Drosophila melanogaster: one gene and its partner. The protein of the gene in region 1 interacts with the protein of each later gene in a pairwise test. Each region holds a gene or a part of one and is shown in the gene's direction. Other genes may lie near its edges. The genes, in order: ced-6 and CG10126.

What was found.
Region 2: the proteins of ced-6 (region 1) and CG10126 interact in a two-hybrid assay, tested with the Drosophila melanogaster proteins (one large-scale study listed by BioGRID).

The regions. Positions count from the first base shown.
Region 1 is NT_033778.4:9,443,046-9,446,972, reverse strand, and holds the start of ced-6 (ced-6), read left to right. Parts: upstream 1-2,035; 5' UTR 2,036-2,289; coding exon 2,290-2,300; intron 2,301-3,927. Other genes in the region: Camta (Calmodulin-binding transcription activator), read right to left, coding at 462-540. UniProt on the Drosophila melanogaster protein: Plays a role in axon pruning in larval mushroom body neurons during metamorphosis. Plays a role in the infiltration of glial cell processes into mushroom body lobes and the subsequent engulfment of degenerating axon branches.
Region 2 is NT_033777.3:12,857,575-12,861,501, reverse strand, and holds the start of CG10126 (uncharacterized protein), read left to right. Parts: upstream 1-2,255; 5' UTR 2,256-2,284; coding exon 2,285-2,326; intron 2,327-3,869; exon of another isoform or gene 3,870-3,927.

The DNA.
Region 1 (3,927 bases):
TGACCAACTAAGAGTGTGTTATTAACACTTCTAAAATTCGAAGCCCGCCAATCGGTTTTTACGAGCAGAGTTGCCATATTTATGTTTAAAGAATCCAGATAACAGCTGATTGCGTCCATAGGAATTTCCAATTAGACTCTCCCATCTTTAAACCAGCTTTGCAATACCGTAGATGGGCGTAATACTAAAGAGATTTCAGTATTGACAGGAAAGGCGTAATATGGCACAGCGGCCACCAATGGGTTAATGGCCCAAAGAAACCCCCAACAACGTGAAAACAAAACGCAACGCAAAGCGAAACACAACAAAACAAAAACTAATTGGAAAACCAATATCGAGGAGAGCACGACTATCAGGTCGAAAATCGGGAGATACGTGGGCTACAGCACAGATATAACTTACATATATGCATGTAGAAGAGGGATGGGTGATAGGGGTAGGGGGAGTTGGGGCTAACTTACTTTGGAGTTTCAGTGTGGAAGTTGAATTAGAAGTAGAAGAGGACGAAGCGCTGGTGGAAATATCGGGCACATTTTCCATGTGCACAGCTTTAACAACCAATTTTAGAATGCACTACTCTCTTAGCGGTTGGCACATTTATTTCGCTTTATTGAGAATGCATTTTCATTTTTGCACACCAGCTCGCACGCACACACACACAGGTGACATGGGCGCTCGCACACGCACACAGCGACACCGAAATCGCAGAACTCTGGGATATCGAAAAAAGGTAAACAAAACTTTTTCACTGCCTCCCTGTGCGCAAGCCGTGGAGTCCCTTGGCGGATTTCGATGTGCTTCAGCTGGACGATGCATAAAATGCAACAAAAATCAATAATATCACCGTTTCACACACGAAATTATTAAAAAAAAACGATAGCGAAAATATTTTGAGCTACTCCAAAACTGTGTGCATGTCAAACTGTCAAACATATGACGGCAAAGTTGCCAGATGTTGCAAAGGGCGAGCTCCCACAAAACTTAACGACAATGATTTCGAATTTTTTAAAATTGATAACTTATTATACAAGAAAGCAAGAATACTTTACAAGCCAATAACCTTGTAATCTTAACCTTACAAGTCTATGTTTGATATAAATTAGTTTAAACTATATCTAACCATCTGGCAGCACCCCAAGTGTTCCACTTATCGGCTTATCGGTCAAGATGACAACTCCAACATTCAATTATCGGAAATCGGGCACTATATTTAAAATATCGTATTGAATTTCAAATCCGGGTTTTGTTAGTCATTTTTTATACGTTTTATAATTATTTTCTTTCTGTTGAATTTTAAACTCCGATGTATCCCGCCGTGTCCGCTGTTTACCGCCGACGTCCAGCTGACGGTTCCACCCTTCTTTAACTTACATATGTATATGTACATTTCAACGAATCTAGTATACCCTTTCAGTCTACGAAAATTTTAATCTTAGTTCAATCAAATGATGTATATTAGTATATAGGTACATAGTCGATGGCCTCGGTTATATTATCTTAAATAAATAAATAATGAAGGATTGATGAATTTATAATGCATATTTGTCTTAAAAACGCTGAGATTGGTTTGCTTGGACGTGAGCAGGAAGTTCTATTCCTGCGACTTTTGTTAGAACCCAAGGAAAATATTACATACCATTCTAGTTCTTAGCTTAGTTCAATCATAAAGTTATATGTCAAAATCCTTTAAGAGGAGCATGCAAATGGGAAGTAAAATGGGCGTAAAATGTAAATGACATTTTGTGTAATTCGCATATGTACATTTGTATATTGTAAGCTATCAAAATATATGTATGTTTGTATGTATGTACAGCCCTTGAGACCGCCCATCATTGATAGGCAACGACTTTCGCCGAACTTTCCTTGGATTTTTCCAGCAGCCGACCCCGCGGTTTTCCGACCCCGCCTCGCTTCCCTCCGCTTCCCGCGACCAGCGGAAGTCTCGGGGCTCTGGCTCTATCAAAATCAACGGGCGGGGCGACTGAAGCGAACACAGAATAATTGCCATAGCTGTGTGCCAGTGCCAGTCAGTGCCAGCAGTTTGAAATCGACGACAACATCAGCAGCAACAAGCATTGCAACAACAGCGACGGCGCGGTGATAAGTCGGCTGCTGGCTGTATATTGCCGCTGGCTTGTTATTTTATTGTCGCTTTTGTTGCACATTGAAAATAATACACAAAATAATTGAATTACTCGAAATGTGTGCATGTCCGTGTGCGTGCCACTTGTGTATGTATGTGTGTGTGTCGTGCCTTTATGGGGGCGTTCAGGGCCCCGCTGATAAGCGATGATCAAGAGGTAAACGAGATAAGCGCTGCTCATTTGGAAGCACAGGCAACACGCGCTAAATGAACCCGCCAACTTGATAATCCGCGATCCCAGAAAACAAAATATTTGTCTTCTGAATTATCTTGTAATGATAATTTGACAGTTATTGTATATTAAGAAGGTCAATGTTTACTTATGGGAAGCATAATAAAGCTGAAATTAGAATTTTATGTTTATATCTATAGTTAGGATAATATGATATTCTCTCAATATTGCTACATTACATTGCTGGCTATAATTTAGGCATTGGAATTAATCCGAATCGCGTTGCTTGTTTGATTTGCAGCTTTGAGTTTCTTATTTACATATGTATATGCATTTTGTGGCACTTTGACAGTACTCCCCACTTTTGATTTCCTACAGTGTTCCCCGTGCTCGTCGACATGTGATAAGGAGCGTGAGGTGGAAACGTGACTCTCGGCGGGGCGGGCATCGGCACGTAAATTATGCTGATGACACCGGCTCCGCACCCAGGCTCTGAAAAAGCTGAAAAGCCCGAAAAACTGAGCGAGCGATTGCGCTTGAAAAATACCAGCACGTTCCTACGAGCTGCAAAGCAACAAGAATAACTGGCTTCGGCTGCCATTTTATTGCAGCGCACAAATATTTACAATACCATTTAATGACATTTCGCCTTATAAAACAATGAGTGAGAAACGTATTTTCTGGTTTCATGCATTTTATTTGGCTAATTGGGCCTTTGAACTCTATTGCTTTGATGATGAAAACGACGCCAAGATAACGTCATGTGCGACGAAACAAGCATTCGAAGTCACGCCCCCTCAGGACTCCCCTCAGCGCGCCCAACGAGCATACGCAGTCAACGCCCCTTGGCGACGATAACAATTCAAAAGAGACCCCGATCAAAATGCAATAGCGAGTTTTTAAAAGCCATTATTACTTGCAAATGGGGGGCAGATCGAACGCCCCCTCAATAAGTGCACATTGAACCATGTTGTTGGTGCCAGTTTCGCTGAGCCCTTCTAGGTTCTCCGTAGTACGAAAAATATCTATGTACTTATGTATAAAGCCAAGTCTCGTAGACATTTCTTCCAAGAAACACAATGTCGTTAAACAAACCTTTTAAAAATCCACATATGACTTCATTAGTTTGTTGCAAGCTTATGAATACATTCAATGTAGTTTTAATGAGTGGAAGCGGTTTAACTAGCAAGGTTGCAGTTTGAAAAGCCCAAAAATAGCGTTGCCCTTTGTTGCATAGGTCACCCTGTTGCTCCACGGAAAATCTCTCAATGAAAAGCCGTTCGGAGTCTTCCTTTTGGCCGGCGGAAAGGAAACTGGTAATAAAATTACAGCGGGAGAGAAAATAATAGCTGCAATATCTGCTGTCGGCGGCGCAGCTAGCGGCCTCTAACTGTAAATGGCCAATATTAAGCGGAGAGAAAAGCCGAAACAGGAGCTTAAAAGTCCGGCGAAGAGATAAAGAGAGAGAGATCGCGGTGACAGAGAGCGGGTGTGGGAAAATTGTACGTATGCCCAGATGCAGCGAAACGACAAGGAGAGTACTGTGGGCCAAACAAAGTTAAAATTCCCTGGGCCAGGAGGAATGCCTGAAATGATCTTATTAGTAAAGTTT
Region 2 (3,927 bases), on another chromosome or scaffold:
CAAATCAAAAACCTGTCCGAACTTTAAATGCCCTGAAAACGTTACAAAATATTAGAAGAGGCAAAGGTATATTGCTTTTAATATGTTATGCATTTTAAATGCTTTTGTTAAAGATGATCGTTAAATTAAAGCAATGATTTAATATTAATCGTTGTAAATTTACCTACCCAACCTTATAACCATTCCTTAAAACCCCATTAACAGAGAGTAGAAACAACCCTTTTCATGAATAACTCAATTCAACGCAGTTCGGCTTATAAAATTTATGTAAATCTGTTGGAAATTGAAATATGCAGATGCTCATTTCGAAAATTAGGACAAAGGCAAAACCCGTTCGACCAACGAAATGTATTAAAATGTATTTCGCATTTTATTAAATTTGCCAACATGATAAATTCTTTGGTGCCTCGGCACTGTCAAGCTCGCTGGCGACCCAACTTAAATTAAGTAATAAGTTTTATACGCCTTGACCTCAAGGGTTCATACCACACACACACACACTACCTTTTGCGCAAAGATACAAAGCTGAATATGTATTGACACACTCCTGGCAGACTTTTGCCTTTTGTGGTTCAAAGGTCGGGAGCGTGTGAAAAGCAGACAAGCAGATTTTCTTATTAAAATTATACAGATCTTACGGTCTGAAGTGGGGAAGGCATTTAGGGTTAATTTCGGCACCAGTCCCAAACCGACATAAGGCACAAAAGTTAATGTGATTAATGTTTACTTAATGAAATGAAGTTATCAAGTTGATTTTATCAATTTACACACAGGCGTCGCCACAGACAAAGACCCAAAATTCTCGAGGGCCTGTCAAAACTGGCGCCGGTGTGATGAAGGTGCTCCTCCATCCTAAGGATTAGGTGAGAGTCGTTCTCGCCTTTGACGAAAAAGTGAAGGGGAAAGGAGCTGACTCAATGCACTGAGAATAAGCGAAAATAAGAAACTAGGTCAAAATCTTTTCATAAAAATGTATAGATATTTTTAATCTTTTCAATAAATCCATTTAAATGCAATGTAAATATTTATCAAAAAAAGGTAATTTTTAAAATGTTTAATTTCTTTCCAGCGGTAGTTTTTGGTGGTGCTAAACTATGCTGGGCTGAACCTAATATTAGTAAAATGTGGTTGACAACCGACTGGTGTAGTGTTGGCCAGGCAAATATTTGCAACAGTCTGTGGAAGATCTTGGCTTTCGGATGGATAAAGTTGGATGTGGCAATCAGTGGACGTGGCAAAGGGAATTCCGTGGCAACAAGTTCAATTAAATCCCAGTCTCTGTCGAATTTGCGTCTTTCGTTAATCAATGCGTTTAACGTTTTCAATCAAGCAACTGGCAAAAAGGCAAAGGCAGGCGAATGATTGAAGGGGTCGCCAAGTGGGGGAGGGGGCAAGTCAGTCAGTCAGAGAGACAGCTCAAATTCAGTTAAGCATTTCACTTATTTGCATATAAATTGATTAAAAAGAAAATACACGCCAGGCACTCGCACACAGTCGCAGAGTTTTGAGTGTGTCAACATGGCAAAATGGCAAAAAGGACGAAAGGGTCCTGGTCTTCTTCTCGCCGCTTTCGCTCTGTCGCCGTCTCATTCGCATGTTTGGCCATCTCCCTCTCTCAACTGGGGCTTTTCCTCTTTGGCAATTTCTGACACTTCAAATGCGTATGATTGTTTTCCTTTTGATCAGCGAATTGTGAAGTGATTCACTGATTGAGTTCAGGCTCAGATGATGCGTTGACAACATCAATGCACACACTCTCCCGTTGAAGTCCCGCCCTCTTTCCAACGTCCTTTTCACACACCCACTCTCTCAGACGGACAGTCAGTCAACTGGGGAAATGTGTGGAAAAGGTGGAAAACCTTCAGGTCATATCCACTAACCACTCGCTTGCCTTCTTTCTTGCTGAAAAGCTTTCTCAAAAGCGTGGACAGGGGAAAAGTTGTTACTCTTAGTAAAAGCTTATCGAAAATAGATTTCTGTTAAGAAAACTACTCTTTGTATTAATGAATAACTTAAAAATTATCCTTATTCTAAAGAACACAAGATAATTTATTGACACAATTTCACCATTTTAGAACACGTGTTATTATTTCTTGTGGTTTCTTTGGCTAAAACGGGACAAGTTCAAAGACACGATATGAGTCACCTTGTCCCATTCATTGCCGCAGTGTGTTGTGGTACACCCCGAGCTGTTGCCTAGTTCCACTTACTTGTGCGGCATTTATTATTTTAGTTACTAAGTTTCGCCGGCTGAATTTAGTTGAGTTTCAATTCGTAGGGCGGCATGTTCTTGAGGGAGATTCGCACGAAAGGCTGGAGCCTCAAGGTTATTATAAATAAATCAATTATCAAACAAAAACTTTGATTCTACTCTGCTAAACATGCTAAGTACCGTTATAAAGGGTTTATTTGAGTGCATATTACGCATACGCAGTGTTGGCCGCCGGCAGTGATTCATGACTGATTATTGGGGCCGCGCTAGACAAACACGCTGGTCGAAGTGAAAATATTGTGCTGTCATGTTTACCTGGCTTATTTCCCGTAATGGTCGTATGACATGGTAGTGCCTCTAGGGGCGTATGCATATTATAAGACCCTTGGAACACGTGCACCGACCAAGCCGTGTCCAATAGCAACTTAGTTCAAGGCTATTCCTTAAATTAAGTGTTGTGTGCCGCCTATTGGAAAATGAATTTTACCACAGCAAATGCAACCTTAAATGGAATGTGAAGATATACAAATAACAGCAAAAGTCATATTCGATTTACCAAGTTTATTTTAGTGTACTGCATTAGGTTTTAAATATTTACAGCAGGCCTTACAAAAAAAAAAAAAAAAAAATTAATAAAGAATTTAAAGTAAATAAAAAGAAAAAGTGAATAGTTAAAGATTGCATTCATTTACATATTTTAAATTCTGCGAATCAAAGGCCAAGTGCAGTATTAACTTAAAGAGACAACATCATTTTTATTTCCTGATCTTTATGAATGAGTTTAATCGAAACCAACGCTTGTTTAACTTTGAACTTTCTGTTGTTGGTTGCCCTGCAACTTCAATTAAATCCAACCAAATAAATGGCAAACTCGTGGGCACTTTGAATTGCATACTTTCAGGTGCTTTCGTTTTTTTATCTAGATCAATTTTACAGGCCACAATCACTGAGTTTGAATATTTGTTTTCTGTCGGCTCGTGTTGGCCGAAAGTAAACATTTGGCCAGTGAAGTCACGAAATTGGTGTGTAGGAACCCGCCACTTTTTAATTGAAATAAAATGTTTAGAAGACCGGGTATATTCCACTATCAGAGTTGTCCATTTCTATCTAACAAAGTTGTAGGCACTCGAAGTTTTTTTAGGCATAGAAAATATCTTAGCTTACAGAAATGTATTGTTATCTAATAAATTTCGCTTGTTCGTGGAGAACAGATTTATATATAAACATGGTTTGGTCATGAGAAGTTTATTGTCAAATGTTTGGGTAAAATCTAATTTATATGGGTCAATATATTTGATTAAATTCATTTTATATTATCTTATTTTCTAACAGTATGTATCTTATTTTATTTTAAAATAAAGCTGCCATCACTGGCAAATGCGACCGAGTTATTAGGCGGATGAGTCAGGTGAGCTGGCAGTCCAGTGGGTTTTCTGTCTGGGACGAACTGTCTGCTCTACATGAGCGTAAATGCTTTTTAGTAACTAGTTTTCCCCCGCCACAAAAGCCGGCAAAGCTCATATTTCATTTCCACTCGTTCCACGGTGCTCCCCATCTGGGTGAGTGCCTCTCGTTCTGTCTCGAACCTTCGTATCTGGCCATCTCGCTCTTCTCGAGCGACTGGCTGTTTATTCATTGCGACCGCTTTATTTTTCGCTTTCAGTTTGCATTTCAAAGCCGCCAAAGTAACAAGTATCTTGCAGTTATCCATTCAG